Linked DNA regions of Kluyveromyces lactis. The protein of the gene in region 2 purifies or fractionates together with the protein of the main gene of each other region. This does not show direct contact. Links are inferred from orthologs where the notes say so. Each region holds a gene or a part of one and is shown on either strand. Other genes may lie near its edges.

Evidence for each region.
Region 1: the proteins of GCN1 (region 2) and KAP104 purify together in Saccharomyces cerevisiae (affinity purification with mass spectrometry; 3 studies listed by BioGRID). This does not show direct contact. The link is inferred for Kluyveromyces lactis from reciprocal best matches to the Saccharomyces cerevisiae genes GCN1 and KAP104.

The regions. Positions count from the first base shown.
Region 1 is NC_006039.1:388,831-396,396, forward strand, and holds KAP104 (Kap104p), read left to right. Parts: upstream 1-3,337; coding exon 3,338-5,992; downstream 5,993-7,566. Other genes in the region: ADE1 (phosphoribosylaminoimidazolesuccinocarboxamide synthase), read right to left, coding at 1-201; protein phosphatase regulator BUD14, read left to right, coding at 982-3,045; DAL1 (allantoinase), read left to right, coding at 6,464-7,566. UniProt on the Saccharomyces cerevisiae protein: Functions in nuclear protein import as nuclear transport receptor. Serves as receptor for arginine/glycine-rich nuclear localization signals (rg-NLS) and PY-NLS in cargo substrates. Its predominant cargo substrate seems to be mRNA-binding proteins.
Region 2 is NC_006042.1:1,147,210-1,154,877, forward strand, and holds the start of GCN1 (Gcn1p), read right to left. Parts: upstream 4,401-7,668; coding exon 1-4,400. Other genes in the region: KLLA0_F12452g (uncharacterized protein), read right to left, coding at 5,000-7,668. UniProt on the Saccharomyces cerevisiae protein: Ribosome collision sensor that activates a translation quality control pathway when a ribosome has stalled during translation. Directly binds to the ribosome and acts as a sentinel for colliding ribosomes.

The DNA.
Region 1 (7,566 bases), on a different chromosome or scaffold from region 2:
CCAAAATTCGGACAACTTGGTCAACAAGATACCCTTTTCTGGAATTGCATTCTTCATGATGACATCGTACGCAGAAATACGGTCAGTAGCGACGAACAACAAAGTTTGATCATCGACTTGGTAAATGTCTCTAACTTTACCTCTAGCCACTAATGGTAGGATACCGTCCAAGTTGGTTTGAGTGATGCTTGTCGTGTTCATGATGATCCCTTTTTTTCTTTTCAATTTCAATCTCCGCAGTAGTAATAGTCGGAAGCGAGTGAGTAATAGTACGTGAATCAGCTAATGCTTAGATGTGATAGTTCTCTAACATCTATCAAATATTAAGTGAAAAAGTGATTATACCGCTTTGCAACCACCTAATTTGCACACGTACTTACAAAGCTGGCTCATCTCATTATATACATCGCATTTCAATTTTTTATTTCTCATGTCTCGAGGGAAAGTAATATCGAAATATATCGAGATATGTCAAGTCAAAAATCATCATTTAAACACGTGACTGATATATTCCACGTAATGCTAAAATAGTAATCCGGGTAATGAAATATATTTCGGTTTCTCTTTCGCATCAGTTCCTTTTTCGCATAGCGAAGTTTCTGACATTCACAGCCGTTAGTCTTTAGTGATATACATTTAGAGATACAGATATGGTGGAATTAGTGAGAATGAACATGAAACGAGACAGAGAGGGAAAGGTGTATAGCGTACAGTAAAGGTCGTTCGACTTATCGAAGCTAGCACCTATACAAAAGGCGCAACAAACCATTTTAGAAGGGTTTTCAGGGGGATTTTCCGCTCTGGATAAAGCACTAAGAGGCTTGAAACAGCTTTTAATTCTCTTGTTTTTGGTGCAACATTTTCCACTGAGGTTTCAGAGATATATTTATACACGCGTTACTTGGAGAAAAGTATTATCAGCTTCCATCTCTGAATCCTATCTGTGCATTAACTGCTATTATACCACTCGAGTTGTATCGTATGATGGATTTGGAGTATCCTAAGATGTCAGGACTCGCAGGTCTGGGCTCTGGCTTAAGATCACGGGAACGATCAAAACCTGATCTATCGATATTAACTGATCCTACACTGGTTGAGGATTTCGATGAAATCATGAAACAGATGCGAAGCCTCAAGAAGGACGAGGAATCCCTGAGTGTCAATGCTAGTGTTGTGATAACGCCGACTGAAGCACATGCTAATGACGTAAATCGTCAAAAAGTTGACTATGAAGGTGTCCCGGATCTCGGTGATTTACAGTTGGAAGATGAGGAGGAAGAAGAAGAAGGAGAAGAAGAGTTAGCACAGGATATCGATAATGAGCATGATACCAGTTTCAGTTCGCGACATGGGAACGAGCTGCAGGATTCAGATTATGCATATTCAGATTCGGATTTTGAAGATAATTTGGAGGAGCGGTTAAGAAGTTTAGAGACTTCTTCTCAAAGAAACAGCGGAGAACATGTTTCTTCTGTGAAAGGGATAGTTGCAAACGATACATCGAGTGCTATTGATAATAACATGGTGGCAGATCGTGCGAAAGAAGCAAGAAACGGATTGGAGCAGAGATCATATGACGATATTGATGATGACGATGATGAGGCAGAAGAACAAGATGACAACGACGAAGAGGACTTGAATATAGGTTGGAACACTAATGAATCTGATGATTCTGATGAGCTGCAGCCGTTAAATCCGCCGCAAGAATTAGACCCCAGCAAATTATATGCATTATACCCGTTCCAGGGACCTGATCCATCACATTGCCAGTTGGAACAGGACGAAGGTTGTACTCTTTTGAATGACCAGGACTCTTATTGGTGGTTAGTTAAACGTTGCAGTGATGGGAAAATAGGATTCGCGCCTGCAGAACTTCTTGAAACGTTTCCTGAAAGGTTAGCTAGACTGAACTGTTGGAAAAACGAAAATATATCATCACATTCAATTTCTCATAAAGAGGATTCAAATTCAAGCAAAGAATCGAATATTTTGAACAAAGAAGATAGTATTGAGGCAGTTGAGTCCCCGTTGAACGCATACTCAAAAACTAATAAATCGGTTAGCTTCAATAATGTTGTCAGTTATGCTGAAAGATATATTGATGAAATAGAGCAAGAACCATTGGAGGACGACAGCGGAGAACTGAATGGTGCAGGAGAATACGTTCATGATGTGGAATCAAGAGACGGGCAAGACGGGCATCTACACCTGGGAACAGATCTTGGAACTCACTTAACACATGTCGATGAAATACATGAAACCCTTCTGAATGATCATTTGTCAGATGATGTAAGCGAAGTTGTAAGTGATGCTGCCTTCAATGTCCATGAAATGGCACCATTAATGGTGCAAAAAAATAGACCTTCAAAACCTGCCTTGACGGATCTGTTGTCAGAGAAACAAAATGATCTAAAACAAGTCTTTCAAGCTCCCACTATGCCAGTAGCAGCACCAAGAGGTACTTCCCAAATGACAAATTCAAATTCAAATTGTTCCATATCTACAATCGGAGAATACTCGCCTTCCTCTTCAGACTGGACAAATGATTCACCTCAGTTGCTAAGTGAAAAGGAATTCGAGAAGTCTAATTTGAATGATCAAATCCCATCTTCCAGAGCTATTCAAGATATATCGAAAATTGTAAGCTCGCAAGATGCGCCTGATTTGAACTCTCTTCATGATGAAGATTCTCTGCAACATAGTGAATCATTGCCAAAAGTAACTCATAATCACCAGCATTCGATATCTACACTGAATGCTGTAGATATCAACAGTTCTGTCGGGACAGAAAAAACTATTGATATTGATGAAGAAAATAGTATCTTACCAGATGAAAATACAAACGCTTACAGCACCGTTCCATCCTCTATAGCCTCAAGTTGCATGGACCATGAACACAACTCTCCATTAATTTCTGAAGTAGCATTGCATACAAGCACTGGTGTAGTAGGGGATTATCATCCAGTGATTAACTCCTTGTACAACCCTATTTTCAGCAAAATAGATGTTATGATGGACAAGATAGAAAACGCCATCTCAAACTGATATTACCTCCATTCAACGCATTATGTAGCTAACTTTTATAGAGACATAACCCAACAACAGCAATCACTATTGCTTCAGTAATCTGTCTGTGCTCATCTCCTGTTTCAGTACCGAAAGAATAACACACGTGACCGCAGTACTGCATTAGACTTTAAAATTTTTTTTTGGTTTGTTAGCTCATCGCAGAGATATCAAATTCACTAAAAACATTTGAGCAGGAGGAAGCACGGATATTGCTGATAAGGAAGTGGTCAGTACCGTGGAGACTCCATAAACAACCTTGAATCCCAGTATGCCATGGTCACCAGATAACGAAGGACTAACTCAACTTTGTTTGACATTACAACATGCTGTTTCAACTAATTCTGATGAGAGACAGCAAGCACTCGATGCATTGGAAACATTCAAATTAGAACCACAGTTTGCCAATTATTTATGTTACATTTTACTTCATCTTGAGGAAATGGATCAGTTAAGAGGTACTGCAGGTATTCTTTTGAAGAATTGCATATTGGGAGGCAACATCGTTGACCTAGGGTATGTCAAATCAGAAATTGTACGCGGGTTGTGTTTGAATAACAAATTTATTGTCAAGATTACTGGTATTGTAATTGCAGCCTTGTATTCTACTTATTATAGACAGCATAGAGAAGATCCTCAAGGGTTAATCACACTTGCACAATTAATTGAGCTCGCGAGAGACAATAACGAGGGTTCTTTGAAGGCCTTATCCAAAATGATGGAGGATGGTGCACAGTTTTTCCAGTTACAATGGTCGAACAATCAGGTGCCGATTGGAGAATTGGTATCGTTGTTTTTGACTTTGATGGTAGAAGGTAAGACACCAGTAGTCAGATCTGAGAGCATCAACTGTTTGAACAATATTATCCCGTTACAGTGCCAAGAATTATCCGTTAATTTAGATACTTTATTGACAAACATCTTCTCGTTAGCATCTAGCGAATCTTCATATTTAGTCAAACAACAAATTTGCCAGTGTTTGACCCTGAACTTAGAGTTCAGACCAGACAAACTCATGACACATCTACAGGGCATCATACAATTCATGGGACATTTGATTGTTAACACTGATAGAAACGATAGTGAAGAGGAGAAAGTTGCATTGGGAGCATGTGAGTTTATACTTGCGTTGGTGTCGAATACAAACGTACCAGATCATCTGATACAACCTTATGTGCAAGAACTTGTTCCACTTCTTTTGACAAACATGGTTTATAGCCAGGAAGAAATTGTTGTTATGGAAGCTTCCAACGGGGATGATGCAGACTCTGAAGACAAAGATGAAGATATCAAACCAGTTTCAGCAAAAATACAAAAGAAAAATGACGATGATAATGACGAAGACTCTGATGATGACGAAAACTTTGATCATGAATGGAACTTAAGAAAATGTGCAGCATCAGTACTCGATATACTTACCGGCATATTTCCGAAGGAAGTCATAGAAACAGCACTTCCACTACTTAGAGAACATTTGACTTCGGATAGTTGGTACATTAGAGAGGCAACAACACTATCTCTTGGTGCTATGGCTGAAGGTGGCATGAAATACTTCGATGGTCAATTGCCAGCGTTGATACCATTTTTGGTCGAGCAATTGAAAAGTCCATGGTTCCCAGTTAGAAGAATGACCTGCTGGACTCTAAGCAGATTCTCCATTTGGATCTTGGATGATCGTACCGAATTTTTAATGCCGGTACTAAATCCTATCATGGAAACTTTACTGGACAAAAAGAAAGGTGTCCAAGAGGCAGCCATTACGGCAATTGCCACTTTTATCGAGAATAGTGATCCTGATATAGTTGGTACAGTCCTATATGAGCCACTATTAGACAGATTCGACGAATGTTTCAGATTCTATCAAAAGAAAAACTTAATCATTTTGTATGATGCGGTCAGTAGGTTGAGCGAGAAGTGTGATCTTGATGAACAAGCTATTACGAAGTTACTTCCCCATTTATTGAACAAATGGTCTGCTTTGGACGACAATGACAAAGAACTCTGGCCACTCCTGGAGTGTTTATCGTATGTATCAACATCTTTAGGCCCCAGGTTCGCTCCGATGGCTATGGAAGTTTACAATAGAGCTTGGAATATTCTCTGCAGATGTGTTGATTTAGAAGCCAAATCACAAGTTGATCCAACGATAGTGGTTCCTGAAAAAGATTTCATCATAACTTCACTTGATTTAATTGACGGGTTAGTCCAGGGGTTAGGTTACGATTCCAAGGCCCTTTTATTCCCAAATCATGATACCAACATGTTTTCCGTCATCTTGCAATGTTTACAAGATCACAGCCATGAGGTAAGACAAAGTGCATACGCGCTACTGGGAGATATAGCATATTACTACGAGAGGCAATTATTTACAAGCGACTTCTCAAAGCGAATGGTGGAAACAATCGGAAACGAATTGATTCAAAACGGAGAAAACCATGAAGCTGTATCTACTGTCAATAATGCTATCTGGTGCCTAGGTCTCATGGCACATAAGATAGATCTGGGCCCTTGTATCATTGAAATAAGTAGGATAGTGCTGGACCTCTTCTGTTCTACTCAGTTGGTTTTACCAACAAGCATAATGGAAAATTTGTGCATCACCATTGCTAGACTAGCTCATTTCCATCCAGAAATCTTCACACAACCACCTTTTGCAGGCGAAACCCAATGGCACAAATGGTGCTCTATAGCCAGTGAACTCACAGATCCAGAAGAGAAAACCGTCTCTTACACCGGTTTCATTAAAATAATGAACTTAATGGATTTCAATGCCCAAGGCATGCCTTCCGACAAAACCTGGGAGCTCTTTTTCAGAGGATTGCAACAAGATGTCGACATTTCCATTATATCAGAGGACCTCTACGCTTTGGCAATGAGGCTACCAGATCCTTGGCAACAATTGTTAATGAACTCCGGAATGTTTTGAACAGAAGAAAAGCATGATGTATAACCGTCATTGTTAACCAGTTACATAACGAATAGGTTACGACGCTCGTATGTGTAGGCAAATAATTTCGATAACCATACCCTTCCCCTCTTCTCCTGAGGCAAAGAGTCGTAGTAAATCACAACTGTCCAGCCGTTGCAATCACGTGATGCAGTCCTAGGCAAGAGCGTTTTCGGTTTTCTCCGAAAGAATACCTTCGAGATGACTGGATCGTACTGATAAAAAAAAGAAAAATCGAAAAATTCCGAGCTGATAAGGCCCGTAATCTCGAAGAGAGGTAAATATACCTGAAGCTGTGGCATTGGGATATATAAACTGGCACACAAGCTACAATGTGGTATGTAGTTTAATTTAAATGTTTAGTTGTAAATGAGTACTGACTTGAATTTATCTTGATTTTTTCTTTTACCGCAACTTATTCTTTGAATCTGTGTCATAAAGGCATTGACAATGATACAAGCCGTCGCTTCAAACCATGTTGCATTCCATGAGGGCGTAGCTCCTGGCACGATTATCTATAGTGTAGAGAATGGTAAAATTTTGGATGTACTACAAGGAAGGGTAGCCACCGAAAGAGAACTAATAGGCTGTGGATGGAATTTAGAATCCTATGACATTGTTTCGCCGTACTTAATAATGCCTGGATTGGTGGACGCTCATGTACATTTGAATGAACCTGGTAGAACTGAATGGGAAGGATTCGAGACGGGGACCAAAGCAGCCGTCGCTGGTGGTGTTACTACTGTCATAGACATGCCTTTGAATGCCATCCCACCAACAACGAATATTAAGAATTTCAAGCTGAAATTGGATGCAGCAGAGGGCCAGCTGTGGTGCGACGTTGGATTTTGGGGCGGGTTAGTACCGGACAACTTAGCCGATTTGAAACCGCTAGTAGAAGCTGGCGTAAGAGGTTTCAAAGGGTTTCTTATAGATTCCGGTGTCGATGAGTTTCCTGCAATTGATAAACGATACATCCAACAGGCGTTGCACTTATTGCAAGGTGAGAAAACTATGGTTATGTTCCATGCTGAATTACAGCTACCAGAACCTGGCCACGAACACACTATTGTAGACTATAATGGTGAACTGGGGACTGACAGTAATGCCGAGAACTTGCTTTCTGCAACCAAGTCATTATCATCTGTCGAACCAAAATATGGTCAAGTTTCGGAATTAATCCAACATCACGAAGATCATTTGGATTCAATAACTACACCTCTCGAAGCCGCAGAAAATGAAATATGCGACCATTCATTGTCCAAAATAGATCCATGCGAATACAATAGCTTTTTATTATCCAGACCGGATCATTTTGAAACAGACGCAGTAGCATTAATTGTCAGTTGTTTACGCAACAGCATCCTTCAGAATGGGATCGAAAAGTCACCGTTCGTTCATATAGTACATCTAGCATCGATGGAAGCTTTACCAATCTTGAAACGGGCTAAGGATATGGGACTTCCAATCACCGCCGAAACTTGCTTCCATTATCTTTCATTGGCAGCTGAAAGGGTTCCTAAATCCAAGACTTTTTACAAATGTTGTCCACC
Region 2 (7,668 bases):
CTTTTTGTTCTCCAGGATATATCATCAAGGTTAGAAACAGCAACAGGAATTAGTTTCTTCACACCAAAGCTTGTGGTAGATGACATTATAGCCTTAGTGGCCTGTGCTGTAGCTTCGCGTACTTCAGGAACTGGATCTCCCAAATTCTTTAGAATGTTCGGTAGAATCTCAATCACGTATGGCTCGAAAAACTTCCCTAGAACAAGAGATAGGCACTCGAACCCATATGCAACCGATTCACGGCAGCGTGGGTCTTTTTTATCTTCGGATCCTTCGATTAAGCTGCGAATAACATCAAAGTCTGAAAGAGCAGAAATACCGTACCCCTTTACTAAACCAGCAATACCCCAAGCAGCACCTCTTCTAATTTGGTTTGGTGCAGGTGAGTCAAATAATGCTTGCAAAGAGAAGTCAATGTATTCTTGGGCAGAGCTCTGGAATAAGGGAACCAAAGCAGATAAACATTTTGAAATTGATTTTTGTAATTCTTCTGATGGAGTTTGAAGGGAGCTTAACAAACGCTCAGCAATGGTTCTAATTCTTGGATCATCTTGCTTCAAGTGTCTAGCTAGAGAACCATATAGAATAACGACATTTTCTTTCATCAAAACATCAGTAGAAGAAGACAAAAAGTTTTCAAATATTGGCATCAAATCTTGCAAATACTTACTACCGTGGTAGTTAATGATTTCGATACCAGCTTCTTTCATCTCCTGGCGAACAATTTCCTCTCTATCACCTAATGCTCCAGAATCAATGAGGAAATGTACGAATTCAACAACAGCACCAGGACTGGAACTAAATGCACGGCAAAGTTCTTTCAGTGCAATGGCAGTAGTACTTCTTGCTTCCCAAGGGTCCTTTTGCTCTGTTGCACTGATTTTAACCAAACCGTAGTCATCAAGAATATCCTTAGGAGGTTCTGACTTCAAAGCATAAAAGTTCAATAGTTCGTGGAAGTAACGGTTGAATGAATCTGGATTTTCCAACTGCAACTCTGAGACAGCAGATGCGTACGCCCTAGCTGTGAAGAGTCTTAGACCACTATCCTCCTGTTCAAAGAAATTCAATAAATCGTTCACTAGCTGATCCATAACTTTGAATTCGTTTGATTTCCATATGAAGTTCGCGATGTCCCTATTATTTTCATCTTCATTAAAGCAAGTAATATAAACTTCAGGAGAGTATTCCATAAGTGGTTCGAGGTCGTACTCATCATCAAGTGCCTCCAACACAGTCGCCTGAACAAATTGATTTGAAGTTAGCAAGCTTTTCAATAAAAGGCATAAATCTTCCTTAGTTGGATGTATTGATATATTTTGACATAAAGAGATGAAATACTCCTTTGCCAATTTTGCCTTGGATGGGAGAGCCAAAAGAGATAAGAGAACTGATACTATGCTTTGACGAGGGATAGATGTATCTTGGAATGCTTCGCCATGAGTAGATATGATATCCAAAGCCAAAAGTAGCTGTTCTTCCTCAGGATCTTCTTCCACAAACTCGCTACGATTTGTAGGTTTATTAGCATTCTTGATTGCAACTTTTTTACCGATTTCCATTACTTTTACGAGTAGTGGAAGGATATAAGTCAATGCCATAGATTGGAAAGGTATTTGTCTGCAACCATGTTTGATTTTGAATAATGCAGTTGAAATCAGTTCCAATTTAGTCTCTGAATTCAGATCTGAAAGAAGATGAGGAACTCTATGAACTATCATCGTTGCGTAACCAACAGTTTTAGCGAACATTCCTAACCTATCATCCAACAAAAAGGATAATTGCAAAAATACGTCAAATCCGAGTGATCCAAATAGCAAATAAAAGTTTTTCTGTTGTAGAATATCTAACAACGAATTCACAGATGTGGGGAACCAATATTTGATACCATTATCCAAAAGATTTGCTTCAGAAGCCAACTGAGAAATGATATCAATAACGCATTTCACAGATAAAACGAGCTCATTAATACTTGATCTAACATTTGATTCCTTTTTCAACTGTTCGTCGACAATCTGTTGTTCTTCCTTGTTCAACTTCTTTGAACCTTTCTTGGCTTGGTCCTTTCTTATACTTTCTTGCCATTTTAGAATTTCATAATCCTTTGAATTCTTGTTGTTTAAGATAGCTGATTGTTTTGCAGAGAGTACATCGACGACAAGTGTACCTTCTTTTCCGTTCCAGATTTCAATTTCTTGTTCTGTCACAGCAGATAGTTTTGTTGTATCCAAGTTTAATTGAATCATGCTTGCTACCAAAGGTGAGGTGATCTCAGGATTGATAAATGAGAGGTGAGAAATGGCTTTAATAATGGCTCTTCTTAATTCTGGTGTTGTTTTATCAGCGCTGTTAAGCAAATACATCATATTGTCGAATAATTTCTCACCGTATTGTCTCACTATTTCAGAAGGATCCAACTCTGCATTAAGGACTAAGCCAGCCCATCCATTCTTCAATTTAATGCCGTCTAATTGGGATAATACTAACAGCCTTGTTAACAAATGTACGGAGACAGACTTATCCGAAAGTTTCTGAGATAGGGTATTGAATAAAGGTGCTGCAAAACAAAATGATATACGCGAAAGAGTATCATTCTTTTGTTTTGACAAAGTTTCAAAAGCATCAATTATTGCATTGCCGACAAATTGTGGGTTCCTGTAAAATGCGCAGTTTAGAAGCTGTAAAGCTTGCTTTCTCTGTTCAAAAGGCACTTGCGTGGATAGGGTAACATATATCCAAGAAAGACCGTATGACTCCTTGTGTGCTTCAAGGATGTCATCGATTTTGGAAAGTATTGCAGTTGCACTCAAGTCAATAAGATGTTGAATGTAAACGAAACATCCATATGCTGAACCTTCTCCATTTTTTAATGGATTATTACAGACCTCCTTCAGATATGCAAGTGTTTCGTCTTCGAGCTGAACAATGATATTTAGTTTTGCAGTGTTTAGGTTGCTTAAAAAAGAATTGTACCATATCTTTCTCAAAGGTAACTTATTCTCATTAAAACCGGACTTTATGGCAGCAATTGAAACTTCGTCTGCTGTTTCTAATGAGGACAAATGGTGGAAAAATGCTGATAACATAATATTCAATGCTGTCTCATTGGATTCCTTCGAAATATAAGTTCTCAACCCATCCACGATTTTTGAAGACACTTGATTGGAGAAAGTTGGTACATTTATTAACAAGTTGGATATAATAATCTTATAGTCGGTATTCAGGTTGGTTTTCATGTTCTTAAAAGCCTCATCCACAAGTTTTTGTAAAGATGATTCGTCACAGGAATCAGAACATATTGACCTCAATAATGATATTAGGGACTTCAAGGAGCTTTCACGTACGATATCTTTTGAGCTTTTGAATGATGTAAAGGTTTGAGTAATGCATTTTGATGAAACAAATAAACCCAAACTATTAACTTTGTTAGAATTGAACGCCGAATAGAATTCAGCAGATTGGGTGAAAGATGTTTCTGGTGATCTTAAATTTGCTTTCTCAAAGCTTGGAATCAAATGCTTCTGAACTTGTTCTTCAGTAACAAATGAATATAGGAATTCTTTCAGGAAAAGTTCCAAACAGAATGCTGAAGGCAACTCTTTGGCGAGGATAACTTCTTTACCGAGATACTCTACTAATCTTTCAGTCAACTGTTCCAGCGAATGCAAAGGAATTGGTTTCTTGGCTTGGCACTGTAATACAGAATGAACTAGGGATCCCAGAGTGATAACTACACCAGTATTTGGAAGCTTCAATTTCGAGTAGTTGTCTAATAACAATGGAATAACATCATCAACAATATTAGATTTTGAATCTGTAGTAGATTCCAGGTTCACACAACTAACGAAACTCTTAACAGATTGTTGGAAGACACAGAGCCTCAATCTCTTACGATGTTGGTTTTGCTTATTCAAATCTTTCTTAAAAGGTTCATGGGTATCTAGGATAGTCTCGATAGCTGCTACAAGCATCACATAAGCGTGGACTATTTCTTTCCAATAAACATTGAAGAGCTCATCTGATTGTTCATAAATCAAATTCAAAAATTTAAGCACCCATTCCAATAAATTTAAATAATCAGTAACAGCTTTAGAAGGGCAGTTTTGAGTGCTGGCAGTCTTGATAACAAAATCACTTATCTTTTTACAATAGATGGGGTCGGTTTCAAACAATTGGACCAGGATTGAAGTGACTAGAACTTTTGATTCTTTATCCTGATATAAATCATAAGTGCTTAGTACGCAATTGAAAATCAATTCCAACGCCGAGCTATCAGTTTTACTTTTATCGTTGGATTTTAACAGTTCTAGGGCACTTCTTAATACCGGTAGCCTGACTGTCAATAAAGAAGCGTGGCAGTCTCTGTAAAGAACAGGCTCTAAATTTTCCCAAGTAGACATCCGTAAATACTGTTGAAAAATGAGATGAGACTTCTCAACTATGTCGTACTTTTAATAAATTAAGAGTCGGTAATTTTCAATGGCTTGCCGCTGATAAGCGTCTAAAACAACATTGCTTAAATCACAACTCATCTCTGAAATAATGAACTCTGCTCTTGTTTAAAAAACTATTCAAGATTTTAACATACAAATCTGAAAAGCTTTGGTGAAAGAAAAAAAAAGTACAAGATCAAAACGTACAAAATGATGTATTGTAACTAACTTGAGGCTAATACTATACTTAATATAATTAGTATTATAATCATCCCATTGATATATTAATGGGCATAGTAGTTCGCAAGTGATACTTTCTTTAATGTGCGATTTGTAGCAGTTTCACATTCAGTTATCAATTGGACTTTCCACTTGGTTGGACAACACAGAGTTTGTCCAGAAAATTACTATCATTTTCTATGAAGAAAAGAAGGTACGATATTATTTAACTATACTGACGCTGCATGATAGTGACTAGTATGGTTGAAACAAAATAATACTGAAAACTTTCAATTATAATACATAAAGTCATATAATGTGTAAGGTCAAGTCTAAACTTATCGTGTTCAAGACTTGTTACTTTGGTTAGTCTTGGACCTTCCAGTGCCAATAGTCAAGTTTGAGATTGTCTTGGTGATCTTTTCAAAAGATTTGAGATTTGGTGACGGTGACGGTGACGGCAGGTGCGGATTACTATGTGTGTGAAGTGGAAGATGAGGAGATTGCTCTTGAGATTCAGGTCTCGTTATTGAACGCAAAGTTGGCTGTCTTCTTTGTTTCATCAAAGTGTCATCAATTTCAGACATATCTTGTGCAAGTTTTTTCTTGAGAGTTTTGATTTCTTTAGAAATATGCAAGCAGTCCTTGCATCTAACCATCAATTTCACGTCACTCACTAAGACTGCAGATTCGTAAATTAGTTCCATGACATAATCCACAGGTGGGAGTGAATTTGGTGAAGCAAGACTATCTAAAGTGGATAACTTCTGGTTGTGGTACGGTGGATCATTTCTGACTTTACCGCTAAACAAAGACGGTTTCTTCGTATAGTTAGAGCCAGATTCAGTCGATCCTCGAGATAAGGGATCAACTGAATCCTCTAGTTCTAGTGCTCGTTCTCTGAAGGACCTCTCTATTTTGCTCTTAGAAGGTAGAGAAAGTCCAACACCTAGATCGTCAGAGTCAGAAGGACAGCTTGAATCGTTCGTATTAGATTTTTCCAAAGCGTCATGCTCTAAAATATCTCTTACTTGATCAAGTTCGTCATCTATGTTGTGCATTTCTGTAGTTGTATGGACTGGGCGTGCTGGTGAAGAAGAGCGTGTCAAAATTTCAGGAGAATCCACAGTAGAAACTTCCTTGCTTAAGCTCGATTTATGTTTTGGATTTGTATTGATTCTTTGTTGAATATGTGAGATCGAAGATTTCTTCCCGGATACAGTGATGGTGCTTGGATAGTGGGCTGATGATATTGAATTTATGCTATCCCTTGGACTTCCGGTTATCACCGAAGGAGTAAGGGCAGGTGCGGAAGAAGAATCAAAGGAATTCAACTTATCAAGATGATCTTGGGTAGCACTGCTACTAACTGTACTCACCGAAAATGCTGCAGACGCCTTTCGCAAATGATCTATATCAAAGTAACCGTCATCTATGCTGTTTAACGATTTTTCAATAGCCTGGTATTCCTGGTAATTTTTGTGATTTTCCAAATACTGTTGCATAGCATCTTGGTCATCTTCAAAAAGCAGTGAGACTCGATTGAGGAAAGCATCTTTTAGAGATTTGCTAATCACAAACAAGCTTTCCTCTTTCTTCCCGATGATAGAATAAAATACTTCAAGCATTAGATCGAAGAGCAATGGCACTTCATAAATCTTAGCCATATTCAATAATCCCACCGCCACAGGTGATAGAGGCCATTTACCATCAATTTGGCCAGTGAAAAAAAATTCCGCGAACGCTTTAACAGTTTCTGTAGGCCAAGGCATATATAATGACCTAGGTATGAATAGAGGCTCGAAATCAACATCGCCCGAATTCAGAGTTTGACTGGTCAGACTCTCAGTATTTGAAGCAAATGAGTTTCGCTCGTTTTGAGGGGTAGTCATGCCATCAGCTTCGTTATCTGGTTTGTGTAAAGGATCTCCGACAAATACCTCATCAATTCTGTTTGGATAGATATTCTCTTGTGATATATGTTGAGAAATATCATGGTGTAAAGATGATCTTCTACTTGATAATGGAGAAGTTGAAGTTCGATAGCGAGTATCCGGAAAAAAATGATCCGAAAGTCGATTGTCAACACTAAAATCATGCGATGTATGTGTAGGTAGCGCAGGGAGCGGTTCACTTGGGACAGGCAGTAATGGTGGTAGCGAAACATTCAGACTCAGTATTTCTTCAGATCCTGGACTTCTGTAAATTGACTCTCCCATTCTATCGCTTGAAGAGCTGACACGAGAAATTGAACTTGACGTAGAAGCTAATGAAGCTTTACGGGAGCTTAATGGACTATTCAGCCCAAAGCTTGAATGAAGTAAATTATCATTCCCCAGTGACTGAGAGATTCTACGAGATTGAGCTTGGCTAGATCTCAGGAAATCGTCAGTAAAGAGAGCAGAGTATGAGCTTGCAGAATTTTTCCTATTCGAAGGTACAGATATTTTAATTGGTTCTGAAGTGTCATTAGGATCTAAGCTAATAGGTGGTGGTGTTGATCTCTTAGAGCTTTCTCCGCTTGGCCTGAATGGAACCCTAAATACCATGCCACCGGATGAACTCGTTACACCTGAAGCAGCGTTTGAATGACGTCTCTGAGAAGACTGCTCCGATATTTCTCCCAAAGAGACTATATGATCAGGATTTACTCCCAAAGAGGTAGGTAATCTGTCGTTGGCGTTAGTAGCGGTTGCTAAGCTATCTGAATGAGAAGCTATCGAATGAGACGAGTTATCATTTGTTAATTTAGATGTGCTTGGCGTATTGAAGAATAAGCAAGCGGATTTCCTTTCCATTGGAGGCGTGCTGCTTTGCACAGACTGTGCACTTGGTCTGTGGCGGCTAAAAAATGTGTCCAAAGATCCTTGTGATGTTGGCTTCTTGTCATCCTTAGCTATGGAAGATATTGAACTAGATGTATGCGGCGAGACGCCTAACTGCCCTACGTTTCCTGAAGAAAGTTTTGAAATCTGGGAAAAGCTTTCCGGTATTTTGCGATCTGTTGAAACTTGAA